Linked DNA regions of Rhinolophus ferrumequinum. The protein of the gene in region 2 interacts with the protein of the main gene of each other region in a pairwise test. Links are inferred from orthologs where the notes say so. Each region holds a gene or a part of one and is shown on either strand. Other genes may lie near its edges.

Region 1 (7,176 bases), on a different chromosome or scaffold from region 2:
GATCAAATTTCGATTGATGGTTCTTCTTGACCGCCTCTAGCTTACCCTTCCCTTCTCAATATTCTATGGCTGGGTGCCTTGTAGAGGTGAGGATAGAAGAATATGCTCTGATCAGATTTCCCCAGAGGTCCAGCCAAACCAGGAAATAAAAATGTGAAAGGAGGAAGCCTAAAAGAACTTTAGAAGGTGTCTCCCTTTCTAAGGAATGGCTTGTTAAATACTATCCAGGTACACTAAACTCTTTAGTTCAGTACAGAGCTAAGGTAAGGTCCAGGGATTCTTTACATTTTTCATAATGAACATGGCAACCTAAGACTCATGCGATACTCCTGAGTAGACAGAAGAGGGGAAGAGATTAAAAGGAACAGTGAGGAAGAGTAATTCTGAATCAGATAGAGCTAAATTTTGTGGGCTAGTATGTGAGGGTAGTGAGCAGAGAAAGAAAAACTTAGAAAATATCACCTGATTCTCAACTAGGATTCTACATCTGAACCACTGAATACTGATAATTATTGAAGTGACTATTTTCTCACTTCTCCCAAAGACGGAACAAAACTAGTGCCATTGCGGTTACAGAGGACAGAAATTGGTTCATTACATACAATGAATACCTTAAGTCATTAGGGCTTAATTCTTTCCTGGAACTCCAGTTGAGAAGAGCTGGAATGATGAGAAAGGTATATAAATTCGTAATTAGGAGCCCAAAATATTGAAATTGTAAAGAGAATAAAATGTGGGAAAGAGCTGACACGGAGGAAGGGAAATACTAGTTTAATATTCTAAGAACGCTGGAGACACCAGCATAAGAATTGATACCTGTTGGTACTTTGTCCCCAACAAAAGCTTTATATAACTGATGGTCAAAAGTACAGTTTTGTATATTAAAGAAGTGGAAGCCGACGATGAGATAACAGAGACAACTGGTATGGGATTAGGAATCAAAATCTAATCTAGTTTTGACATTATACTTCCTTGAGCAAGCCCTTTTCCCTATACCTTGGTTTGTCCCCACTATATAAGTTTGTCATGACAAAGAATCAGTATGGTTTTTAAAGCAAAGTTCAGGGGTACCTGACCGGTTAGCATGGCTCTGTGAATGCTGCATCTTAGGTACAGATTAAAATGGATATAAAAAAGCAGCAGGTTGAAATACACTTCACTGAGGAAGCAGAGACAGAGAACCTGGGTTTAACAGAAAATGTGAAAGACTTTCACGTATAACTGCCTCAATTCACCACTACACACAGATCTCTGGTTAAAACAGCTCCCTAAGTATCATCTCCCTCACTGCTTTCTTTACCTGTAAACAGGCTCCTTTCTAAAGAAGAGATTGCTTCTCTTAACGAAATGCAGGGGGCCAGGCACCAGCAAGGAAGCAGTCTAAAAATTTCCAAAAACTTCAAAAGAAACCAATTCCCCTGAACTTATCTCAGTCTGTTAACTGCTTAAGAATACTGTTCAAGTGCGTGGTACAGAAAATATCTTATTAAAAAGTACTCCGTTTTAAGCTTTCTATAATATCTAGGCTTGACCAACCCATATGATGAGAAGGAATTATCTCTATCTTTGCCATTTTCAAAGAGGGGAACTGAAATCTGTTATTCTCTTTTACCTGATGAGGATCTGAATGTGTACATGTATTAGAATTGAAGGAAAGACAAAGACAAAAAAGAGGCTGTGCAGACAGAGCCAGGAGAGCAGTTTCCAGGCTCCCGGCCTCACGTGGAAAGGTGCTGGCTCAGGTAGTAGATGGCCATCAGCTGTGACTAGTTGGCCATCAGCTGTTACCGGTTAGCCATTAGCCACTGATATAACTGCTGTGGCTAAGCTAACAAGCGCAGATTGCGGATTGCAGTTAACAAGTGAGGTTGGCTGGCAGAGAAGCGGACGGCGGGTTGCACATGGTGTGGATCCTGCTTCCTGTGTCTCCAACCCAGCCGCCATGGAGAATATAGTGCTATGACTCCCCTATCTATGGCTCCGTTGGTGTTCCTTTTTGGTCTCACCATATCCTGCGTTCTTGGGCTGGGAGCGGGAACTGAGACCCCGCATGACACCCTGCATGACAGAGGCCTTGAGTTCAACTCAAGTAAAGAAGGAAGTGGGAACTAAATTCCTACACGCAGATCTCTGTTAACATCTCCCCTAGTTGCAAAACAGGTACTTCTGAGAGAAATGCTGTGGTCCAGGTCTAAAGAAGGAATAATAGTGCTTTATTTGTTTGAACAAGCTAAAAGGATCATATGGACAAGGGAGCTAATACACCCCTTTAAACACCAAAATTCTCCTCTCTCTCTCTCACCAGAGAGAGTTAGCATCCCAGATCCTACAATAAGAATTCCTAAAGTTTAAATGGGTAGGGAAAAGGAGACCAGAATAAGGAGTCTGAAAAAATATTCCACAATCCATGCTAACTCCATCAAGCATTCCAGAACATTGATGGAATACTGATTCTTTCTTTATCATGACACATCTATATAAAAGGGATTAACAGGAAACCAAGCAAAAAGAATAGTTTTCTGAAAGAATGTGACGGGGAATTATCAATGGAGTATCAAACTGTGACAACCAACAGGAGAAGCCTGTGATGACAAACACCTGCACTCCATTCTTACAATTTGGGGCGAGTTTGGAGAAACTCAAATCAGAATATCATCCACAATGCTCAGAATCGGGGGAACCTGAAGGACCTCAATCCAGTAGGCTTATGATCCTATGCGTCCCAAGGACCCCGTGTGCTCCCTTCAACTTTCCACCGACTCTGCCCTCTTCTCCGACTGTGCCCTACTCTAAACCGAGGTTCTAGCTCCTGCACTAGGCCACACCCTTATTCCAGGGGCCGGCAGAACCTTCGGTCCCGGAGGATTACCCGGAACTCCCGTATCTACCCACTTCCAGTCAGGTTGAACCCCGACTCCCGACCCCTCTAACACCGTAGCATCTCGATTGCCCCGGCTCCTACCAAAATCAGCGCCTCCATCTTGCCCCGCAGCTGGTGCCGACGTGGAGCCGCAAAAAGAACGCGGCCGCTGATTGGCCCTACGTCCTCGTTCGACCCCGCCCAGGATGGGGATTATTGGACTACGGGGTGCCAGCTATTGCTCTATTGACCAATCAGAGTGCTAGTTTGCTTTGCGGAAGCAAGGTCTCCAGCCAGAAGGCGCAGGTATTTGATTGTCAGTTTAAACACTCAATAAAACGCCAAAATCTCACGACTGAATGGGGCGGGAGAGTCAATGGGGCGGGGTTGTTTCCATGGGGAACAGAGGAAGCGAATATTAATTTTCAATTGGCAGGGCGGGGAGCACGTGATATCGTAAGCCTGGGTTAGCCACTTTAATCCGCACTCCCTTTAGGGGGCGCTATGTCTCCTTAACGTTTAACACTGGCAGCTCTTGGCAGAATCCTACCCTAATCCGCATTCCAAGAACTCCGATTAGGTCCCTGATGTTCACGGTTGCTTTGGCAAACACTGCTAGTTCTTCCTCAGACTCGCTCAGATCACTTGAGCATCCTCGCAGAAAGTCTGCCCAACCATAGAATAAAGCCAAGGGATGCCCAAGGTGTTAACTAGATAAACCAAAGTCTCCAGAAAGTTGATTGCTACAGTAACAATCTTCCCAAGGTGGAGTCCCAGGGAATGACCCACTGAGTTTCTAAAAGCAGATTTCTTTGGCCGCAAGTAAACTGGGATGTTAAGAGTTTTGGAAACCAGAGAGGAGAGAGTAGGAGGGACAGAGGGGTAAAGGGTCCAGGATAAGGAAGGGTATGGGGAGCAGGGTCTGCGGTCGTTCAGTAAGGACAAGCCGTTGCAAAATGAGAAAAGAGAAGTTTACTGAATGCAGGGATTTCACAATAGGGAAGGGTTCTGATGAAGTTTAGCTTTCCCCTACCCCTCTGTTCCTTGGTCCCTTACCTCCCCTTAGGTCAAGGACACCTTCTATTGCCTTGTGTTATCCCCAAAGGGATTTTGTTTTTTCTGTCTCTGACATTATTTCTTTAGAAGCTCTCCCAAGACGCTCTCCCATGATTCAGAAGCTCTCCCATGATTCAAACGTAATCATGAGTTTTTCTAATAATTTCAGAGTAGAGTCAGAGGGCCTAAGAGAAAAGTATAACAATACAAAACAAACTACAGAGCTGACATTTGCTCTAAAGGAAGGTATATGATTTTCTGGTAAAATCCGAGGTGACAAGGCTCATATCTTGAAGAAGCCTTTATCTATTCCAAATGGGGAGATACTCAAACATTTAGCTTTATGCCTGGCATCACAAGATTGTCCTTGGCTTGGCAGCTTAATGATAATACTAACATTTATTGACAATTTACTATGGGCCAGACACATGCTAAATCTTTGGATTTATTATTTAATATTTTTAAAAACCCTTATGATGGGACTGGTGGAACTGGGAGCAATTACATAATTTACTTAAGGCCATACAAGTATTCACTGGCAGCCATACATTTGAGCATAGGAGGTCTGGTTCTAAAACCATGTGCTTACTTACAATCCTATGCATGCTAAGGATTCCCATGTTCTTACCCACAATCCACTCTGACTTGTGGTACAGCCTCTCTTGTATCCTACCTAGTCCTACCTGAAGTACCCTACACCAGATGTTCTATAGGGACCATGAGGAGAAAAATATGTGGTGTGGCTGGTTTGGGGGAGGGGGTTAGCTCCTCTTTCTTTGTGTACTGACAAATCTTAACATTCAGACATTGTTCCAGAAGAGGGTTGATTCTTAGCTCTCCAACCTATTGCGTAACTGCAGTGGGGGGAAAACAATTAACTGAATGGGAGACATTAGTTCTTGTTTTGACTTTGCCTTAACAAGTGAGAGAATTTTGACAAGTACCAATACCCTCTCCAGACTACAGCTGCCACTTCTCGAAAATGGGGAGTCTCAGACCAGAGCTTTCTAGGGCCCTACCTCCTTACCCAGCATTAAAGTTCTATGATCATTCTTGTTTCATTTGCTTCCATCTCACCTTCAGCTGGAAAACCTTTAAGAACCAATCAAATGAAAAATACATATGTTCCCTCAACCATATGTATACACACACACTCACACGTAGTTAACCCTTTAATAGCACGGGTTTGAACTGAGTGGGTCCACTGATATGTGTTTTTTTAAATAAATACTGTAAATGTATTTTCTCTGATGATTTTTTTAATAACATATTCTTTCTCTAGCTTATTTATTGTAAGAATACAATATATAATACATATAACATACAAAATATTTGTTAATCAAGTGTTTATGTTATCTGTAAGGCTTCCGATCAACAGTTGGCTGTTAGTAATTTAAGTTTTGGGGGAGTCAAAGTTATACATAGATTTTCAACCGCATGAGGTATTGGTCAGCCCCTAATCCCAGTGTAGTTCAAGGATCGACCGTGTGTGTGTGTGTGTGTGTGTGTGTGTTATTGTGTGGAGGAAAAGACTGGAAGGACATACCCAAAAATGTAACCAGTGGCTAGTTCAAAGTGCTAGGACTTTTTTCAATGTTTTCATATTTTCTAGGTGTTCTAAAATGCATGGGTGCTATTTTAAAAGGAGAAAAACAAGCTATTTTTTAAAGGACAAAATCAACATCTTCTCCCCATGAATACTTCCCTGATATGCCCAGGTAGATTTGGACACTTCCTCATTTCTGCCATCATCGACTCTGGTTATAGTCATGTTTTAATACATCAATCTAACTCATCAGACTTGTCATCTGAGGCAGTGCTTTGTCCCTTTCATTTTATTTACTTAGCATCTAGCCCTCAAATAGTAAATACTCAAGTAGTGTTTGCTGAATAGAATGAATATTTGTGAAAATGCAAGATACAAAGATAAATGAGCAGTGTCGAAGTGCAGTTTAGGATTAAATGCCAAATAAAGGGTACAGATATTGAGAGGAAGTGATCCCTGGGGATTTGGGTGGGAGAGTCAAGATCCAGGAGAAGGGCTGTTGAGTTTGGCCTTGATTTATTCATGCATTGATGAAATGACTGGTAGGGTTTGGTATGAATAAAGGAATGGAGTCTGGGATGTGCAAGAAATATTTTTCTTTTTTTTAATTGTAAAATGTTTTTACTTACTTTTATATGTAACATAAAGTTTATACCATTTTAACCAATTCTAAGTGTACAGTTCAGTGACATTCAGCATATTCACATTGTTATACAGCCATCACCACTATCAATCTCCAGAACTTTTCATCATCCCAAACTGAAATTGTATACCCATTAAATAAACAATAACTCCCCATTCTCCCCTGCCCCCTAGACTTTGGTAACCACTATTCTACTTCCTGTCTCTTAATTTGACTATTTTAGTACCTTATATAAGTGGAATCATATATTTGTCCTTTTGTATTTGGTTTATTTCACTTAACACAATGTCTTCAGTGTTGTGTAATGTAAGAAATCTTTGAGGGATTGGTTTCATGGGACAGAGGATAAATAAAGAAATAGTATGGAAGGGGATGGAGATAAAACTGGAAAGGTACTTTGTGGCCAGATGGTGAAATGCATTGAATACAAATGTAGGTAACTGCTGTAGTGGGACCAGATGATGGTGGGAGTTGGAAGTGTTACTCTCTTTTGGAAAGTATTATGGCAGTTCCTGTAATATTAAACATGGGTACATCCTTTCCTAGAGAATTACAAACACAATCCAGTACATAATGACACATACATAAGAGTGCTTATTGCAACATTGTTTATAATGGCAAAAAATAACATTGTCTATCAAAGGGAGAATAGTTGAATAAATTATTGTATATCCAGACTGTGGAATAACAATGCAATAAATTTAAAAAGTATGCTAGAGGTATATGCATTAACTTGGAGAAATGGTAATGAAATGTTAAATGACAAGAGTAAGTTAAAGAGGAATTTATGTGGTATGATTCCATTTTTTCATTAAAAATATAAGGCTAATTATGAATAACTATGTTTGAAATGTTTCTATTCTGTTCATTCATTCATTCATTCATTCATTCTGCAAATATTTATTAAATGCTAGCCATGGGCTAGCCACTCCCTCTAAGCAGTGGATATATAAAAACAGTGAACAATACAAATACGTATCATTGCCCTCATAGAATCCTTGCATTCTGGTTGAGGAACAGAAGTAGATAATAGTCAAAGAAATAAGTAAATTATATAGGAGGTTAGGGGGT
Region 2 (7,436 bases):
TCTTTCAGGACTCCACTCAGACAGTTCTAGGAGGCCTTTCCTGATCCAAACTCAAGTTGGGTGCCCTTCTGATCTGCTCTCACAGCCCATCACACATCCCATGGTAAACCATAATATATCCTATTTTAACGCCTGACTATCTGATTATTTCTCTGTCAATTCTGGGGATGCTGCAGAGGACATATTTGTCTTGTTTGCTGTTCTATTCCAAGAGCTACACACAGGGACTGGTAGACAGTCAAAAATATATTTTCTAAATGAATCTACAAATGAATATATAACACCTCCCTCCGCCCCCAAAAAAATTGTGACAAGAAGAAATGAGAGAATTGTGCCCCAGTTCTCAAAGGCAGGGATTGTACTTTAGTCACATCTGTCTCCTAAATCACTCAGCCTACGATAGAAAGAAATACTTAGTAAGGAGGTCTATTTGTACACCTCTTGCATTCTCTATGTCTATTTTTCTCATGTTCTCTCTTGATACTCACTAAAGTCGTTGTGAGAGTTGTATTCTGGCTCAGCTGACTAAGAGGAATCAAGGGAAAGAAAGGTTTGTGCCCAAGCTAAGGACAGAAAATTAAAAGGGAAACAGCACACTCTGGAGGCTGCCATGGGGTAGGCAGCTGTAACTGAAGAATGAGGGAGACAGAAGATGAAAGGACACTTGGCAATATGTCAATCAAAAGTCTCATTGTCTAGTACACATGAGAAAAAATGGCCTCTGTATCAATGGAACCCATCAGAACAGCCATCCACAGACCCTAAACTTGCCTACTGGTGACGATGATGACATCCTCTGCAATGCTAGACATCTCCTTGATGGTCAAGTAGCACATCCGACGGAGGGTGGGCTGGGAAAGAGATAGGAAACATCCTATAACCTTTAGCCCAGTATGAGGGTCAGGGTGAGGAAAAGAAAACTCCAGAAGATGTAAAGGCAGTCCACACTGACTGGTGGGGTCACTTTCCCTTGGTGCTCCTACCACCCTGTCATAGCTATCCCCTCTCAAGGAAAGCTGGGGTTGGGGCACTTACATCGCTGGATTGAAAGAGCTTGGTCATGGCAAAAAAGGCTTCTGTTGCTTCAGTGGTCCCCAGATGCTCCCCCTATTTTAACCAAGAAAAAAGTTTCAATTTTGAACAGATGGTCCAGAAGGTTCTTCCTGCTGGATCATCCCAGGCCAAATCCTCAGATCCTGGCTGCTGGTTACAACCACACAGCAGCTGTTGAATCGCCTAAGGGCTGTTTGACTTTCTCCCCCCTACCCGCAACATCCCCCAACACCATTTCTCCACCCCTCAACCTGACCCTGTTACCTGGTTTATGAGGTAAAGAATCTTGGTGAGGATGTGGGCACATTTCCGAGGGTTGATGGGAGTTTCATTAAATACACGGGCCTAAGAAGAAGGGACCAAGGATATTATCTTCTAGCCCAATTTATTTCCCTTCCATTGACTGCCCTCAAGCTCATTCAAGGGCTGGGAAGTCCCAGGGTAAATAAATACACTTGCTTAGACAAGCTTATTTTCCTAAGAAAATAGTTTTTTCCTTTGATTTATTAATAACTGCTGAAATCTTCCTTAAATTTAAATATCAGTTAAGAATGTACTGACTTATTGACTAAAAGATAATTATTAAATGCTTGTTAACTAGAAAGAGAAATGAAGAACCACTACAAAAATGTAAGCACGATGAACTCTCTCCAGGAACAAAGCTTTCCTGTCTTTCCAGAAACAGGTTTTCTCTCCTATTATTCTTTAAACCAGAACTTTCTTCTTTAAACCAGAACTTTCAATGTGTTAGTATTAAAACTGCATCGATAGTAAACATTATGATGAAAGATGGAGGGGAGCAAATGATACTTGCCTCCTGGAGTACTGCACTCTTCTCAAGGTGCTGGAATGGATTGGAGCCTCCACCTGCGGTTGGAGAGCAGAAAAGACTGAGTGAGTATAAGTTGTGACCCTGAATCTCAAAACTCTCCCATAGAGAAGGGACAGGTGTCCCTATTGTCTACCTAGTCAAGTCTAAACTCAGAATGGCAACCACAACCTGCATATAGATCCTATCCCTCTCCTGCAAGGGGGCGCCCTCTACCATAAAGCACTTAAGTCACCCAACAGCCCTGGCACGGTCCTTTTTTGCCTTTCATGGTGTCATGTCTTGCATTCCTTTATGCAAAAGGTAGTTAAACCGAGTCCCTACTACTGCATAGGGACCACCACCTCCTAGCGATTAGTACTTCTTCACAGCAGATGTCACATTTGTAATTAACTACATGTGCTACTATTTGGTTGCTGTCTGTCTCCTCCATTATACCTGTGACTATTCTACTATTCCAAGCTTAGGCACTGAGTGTCTCACTTGTCCTCCTGCAGTATCAGGACACTGCAGTAAGTGCTGGACACATGCCAATTCCTGGCAGGTAGTAAGTGCTCAGTACATATTCGCTGAATAAATGAACGAGTCAAGGTTCTCAGCTCCAAGACATGAGCTCCACAGAAAATACCCCAGTTTGGCCAGCACCAACACATCCCCGGCGAATCCCAAGAGGTCAGACTGGAAAGTAATAAAGGAGCACCTGCTACTCCCCGTACAGATGGAGAAGCTAAGGCGCTGAGAGGCGCGTGACCTGCCCCATGGTCACCCAGCGAATCGCGGTCCGAGCTTAAGAAAGGAGGACAGTGGCTCGGGCTCTCCGAGGCCTGCCACTGACCAGCTGCGGACCTTTGCACAAGACCCTGCCTCTCACTGGGCCTCGACCTCGGGTGAGGACAGAAATCCCAAAAGAGGGCTCCTAGGAAGGGTGCTGACAGCCTGCACGATGGTCCAGCCTGACCCAGGCCTAGGCTCTCTCACCCGATTCCTCGTCTTTCTTGTCGAATTTCTTCAGCATGGTCGTTCCAGCGGGGTCGCAAAGCAGCAGCCCTGTGCTGGACTTCCGTGGCTAGCTCAGTCTGGTGACAGTTCCGTCTAAGCCACTTCCGGCTGGCCACGTCGCACCGCGCTCTGCGCAGGCGCACTCCGCGCTTTGCGCAAGCGCATATTCCGGCTGGGGAGGTCCCGTCTGGAGTTAACCCTGTCCCCGCCGGGGTAGGTCCGGAGGCCGGGGATAGGCGGACGTGGAGGCCTTGGGGGACTGCCGAGGCCTTAGACTCAGGACTGACCGGCACCCCAGCTTTGCGCCTTACTCCCTCCTTATCTGTGCAATGGGAGTAGTAGTCGTCTTTGCCTCATTGCGTTGTGCCGTGAGTTTAAACGGCTTTTGGAAGTGAGGGCCCTAGTACACTGTCCCGCAATAGACCCCAATTAATGTTGCCAGTTCTTACTATTGTCACCTTATCAGGGAGGCCTCACTAGCCACTCCTCACTCTACCCTGGCCTGATGTTTCTCCCTAGTTCGAATCACCATCTAACACACTATTTTCACTATATTGCTTTTACTGTCTTTTATTCACTGGCCTGCATAATGTTGGCATGTAGTAGGTGCTCAGTAAATTCTTGTTGAATGAATTAATGCATGAACTTGCTCTTATAATTCATGTCTGCTCCTGGTGCAGATTGTTTTGTACTTTAAGGGATCTAACTAAAGTGAAAGATCAGCATGGAAAAAGTTCAATGTGCTTTTAAAATACTTTGGGTATTTATCAAGGGCCTACTAGATACGCCCAGCGCTGGGGGCGGGAAAGCATGGGAAGGGGAAAATGAAACACCACTCAGGGTTTGTCTTCCTGGGGACTTGGGCAGGACACCTTGAGGCCAAGGTAAGGACAGTGAGAACCGACGTGCCAAATTGCACTGGTTGTGGCAAAGCTGAGTCAGGATAGCCGTGCGCTGCGACGCGTAGCACCAACTTGCCTCGGGAGGAGGCAGCCCCGAGACCTGCGGGGAGGAGGAGGCCTGCTGAGCATCTGGAGCAGAGGCCCGCAGGTGACGAAGGTAAGGGTGACAGCAGAGCAGAAGAAAAGGGTATGTGGGGGGAGGGGCCAGCCTTTAGGGTCATGCTTTGCTGAGTGAGGCTGGGGCCTAGCAGGAAGCAGGGGAGGCGGAGAGCAGATGTTGCGCCAAGGTGAAATTGCCACGAGCCAAAAAGATGTTCAAAATCTTGAATCAGTAACCAGCCCCCAGACCTGCGGGGAGGAGAAGGAGGCTTTCTCCTTCTCCTTACCCGGAGGAAACCCCACCCCTTATCCGGAGGAAATCATACAAAAGAAGAAAATAAAGTTGCCTACTGCAGCAGTTTGCAGCAAGAAAATTGGAAACATCCAAAATGTCCAACAATAAGGGGATAATTTATGGGAATTATGGTACAGCCATCGGATGAAATATTCTGTCCCTTTTATAAAGGAGTATTTCTTTTCTGTTTATTTGGTTTTTATTTTTTAAATTATAGTTGGCATTCAACATGTTAGTTTTAAGTGTACACGTAGTGAATAGACAAAGGGATATTTCTAATGTCTTGGGAGGCAATATGCAAACTTCTTATAATAAACGAGACATTAAAAAAGAAAAGCATGGTGTAAAAGTGTTCATAATTAAGATGAAGTAAGTATGCCTCATGGTTAAAAACCAGAAAAGAACCCTGGAAATTTATATTGCTGTGTTAAGAACGTGATATACAGATAAATTGCGTTGAATTAAAATAGCCTTTTGTGTTATGATATTAGTTCTATAAAACTATATATGAAGGGCAATTTTTGTAATGAAATTACAATGAGAATTGTGGGTTGTAACTCCAGCTCTAAGTATGGGTTTACATATAATCGTAGGGTTTTTATTATTTTTAAAAGTAATATAATTCTTCATAATTGCTAAGTCCTTTGTAGAAACACAGAATACTGAAAGCACAAGAGAGAAACTAGGGAAATCTTAATAACATTGGTAGATTATACCAATATCAATATCCTAGCTGTGATATTATTTTTATTAATTTTACTGCATTTTAAAAATTGAGACAAAATCTATATACTTTAAAATTCACCCTTTTAAAGTGTACAATTCAGTGCTTTTCAGTATATTCAAAAGATTGTGTTCTCTTTACCACTAATTCCAGAATATTTTCATCATAAGAAATCCATATCCATTAGCATTCATTCTCCATTCCTCACACCCCTCCCTAGTTCCCCCCTCCAACCTATTTTGTGTCTACTTTTAATTAATTAATCTACTTTGTGTCTCTATGGATTTACCTATTCTAGATATTTCATATAAATTGAATCACACAATATGTGGCCTTTTGTGTGTCTGGCTTCTTTCACTTACACAATGTTTTCAAGGTGCATCCATGCCGTAGAATGAATCAGTGCTTCAGTCTTTTTAATTGCTGGATAATATTACATTTTATGGATATACATTTTTTAAGTCCTTTTTTGTTACAAAAAAATTTAATAGTTAGACATTTACAACCCTCACAAAGTGATAACGGCCCCCAATCTACTACCCCTCTGACATCGAATATAGCTGTTACAATTCCACTGACTATATTCCCAATGTTGTATTCCACCTCCCATGACCATATATACCCCGTTTCTCCGAAAATAAGACCTAACCTTACAGTCAGCTCTAATGTGTCTTTTGGAGCAAACATTAATAATATAAGACCCGGTGTTATATAAGACCTAGTCTTACTGTACAATAAGGCCGGGTCTTATATTAATGTTTGCTCCAAAAGACGCATTAGCGCTGATTGTCCGGTTAGGTCTTATTTTGGGGGAAACATGGTATATATATTTAATTATAGTTGACATTCAATAGTATTCAACTTCAGCTTCAGGTATATAGCACAGTGGTCAGGTATCTACACAGTCTGTGAAGTACAGTGCCTATCTGGCAACCTACATAATCTTGACAACATTATTGATTATATTCCCCAAACTGTATTTCGTATCACCGTGGCTATATTGTGACTACTAATTAGTACTTTCTAATCCCTTTACTTTCTCCCCCAGAGTCCCAACACCCCTCCAATTTAGCAACCATCAGATTTTTTTTCCCTATATGTCTGAGTCTATTTCTGTTTTGTGTGTTCGTTTAATCTGTTCTTTAGAGTCCACATATAAGTGAGATCATATGGTATTTGTCTTTCTCTGTCTGACTTATTTCACTCTAGGTTCATCCATGTCGTTGCAAATGGTAAGATTTCATTCTTCTTTATGGCCGAGTAATACTGCATTGTATAAATGTACCACGGTTTCTTTATCCAGTCGTCTATCGATGGGCATTTCTGTTGTTTCCATATCTTGGCTATTGTGAATAGTGCTGCAATAAACATAGGGGTGCACATATTTTTTTGAATTAGTGTTTTGAATTTCTTTGGTTAGATACCCAGGAGTGGAATTTCTGGGTCATAAAGTAGTTCCATTTTCAGTTTTTTGAGGTACCTCCATACTGGTTTTCGTAGTGGCTGCATCAATCTGCAATCCCCACAACAGTACATGAGGGTTCCCTTTTCTCCACATCCTCGCCAGCACTTGCTGTTTGTTGATTTATTGATGATAGCCATTCTGACCGGGGTGAGGTGGTAACTCATTATGGTTTTTATTTGCATTTCTCTAATTATTAGTGACATTGAGCATTTTTTTCATATGTCTCTTGGCCATCTGTACATCCTCTTTTTTTTTTTTTTAAAGATTTTATTGGGGAAGGGGAACAGGACTTTATTGGGGAACAGTGTGTACTTCCAGGCCTGTTTTCCAAGTCAAGTTGTTGTCCTTTCAATCTTAGTTGTGGAGGGCGCAGCTCAATTCCAGGTCCAGTTGCTGTTGCTAGTTGTAGGGGGCGCAGCCCACCATCCCTTGCGGGAGTCAAGGAATCAAACTGGCAACTTGTGGTTGAGAGGACACGCTCCAACCAACTGAGCCATCCAGGAGCTCAGCGGCAGCTCAGCTCAAGGTGCCATGTTCAATCTTAGTTGCAGGGGCAGAGCCCACCATCCCTTGCGGGACTCGAGGAATTGAACTGGCAGCCTTGTGGTTGAGAGCCCACTGGCCCATGTGGGAACTGAACCATCAGCCTTCTGAGTTAGGAGCATGGAGCTCTAACCGCCTGAGCCACCGGGCCGGCCCCTGTACATCCTCTTTAGAGAAAAGTCTCTTCATGTCCTCTGCCCATTTTTTAATTGGGTTGCTTGGTTTTTTTTGGTATGAGTTTTTTATAAATTTTGAATATTAACCCCTTATCAGATGTATCATTGACAAATATCTTCTCCCATTCAGTAGGATACCTTTTTATTTTGTTGATGGTTTCCTTTGCTGTAGAAAAGCTTTTTAGTTTGATGTAATCCCACATGTTTATTTTTTCTTTTGCTTCCCTTGCCCAAGGGGATATATCAGTAAAAATATTACTAAGGGTAATGTCTGTAAATTTGCTTCCTATATTTTCTTCTAGGAGTTTTATGGTTTTGAGTCTTACATATAAATCTTTAATCCATTTTGAA

Evidence for each region.
Region 1: the proteins of COPG1 (region 2) and COPZ1 interact in a two-hybrid assay, tested with the Homo sapiens proteins (2 studies listed by BioGRID). The link is inferred for Rhinolophus ferrumequinum from reciprocal best matches to the Homo sapiens genes COPG1 and COPZ1.

What each region holds. Positions count from the first base shown.
Region 1 is NC_046293.1:54,056,216-54,063,391, reverse strand, and holds the start of COPZ1 (coatomer subunit zeta-1), read right to left. Parts: upstream 3,020-7,176; 5' UTR 2,981-3,019; coding exon of another isoform or gene 2,963-2,980; intron 1-2,962. UniProt on the Homo sapiens protein: The coatomer is a cytosolic protein complex that binds to dilysine motifs and reversibly associates with Golgi non-clathrin-coated vesicles, which further mediate biosynthetic protein transport from the ER, via the Golgi up to the trans Golgi network.
Region 2 is NC_046302.1:368,760-376,195, reverse strand, and holds the start of COPG1 (coatomer subunit gamma-1), read right to left. Parts: upstream 3,010-7,436; 5' UTR 2,898-3,009; coding exon 2,861-2,897; intron 1,921-2,860; coding exon 1,868-1,920; intron 1,399-1,867; coding exon 1,318-1,398; intron 1,108-1,317; coding exon 1,036-1,107; intron 852-1,035; coding exon 772-851; intron 1-771. UniProt on the Homo sapiens protein: The coatomer is a cytosolic protein complex that binds to dilysine motifs and reversibly associates with Golgi non-clathrin-coated vesicles, which further mediate biosynthetic protein transport from the ER, via the Golgi up to the trans Golgi network.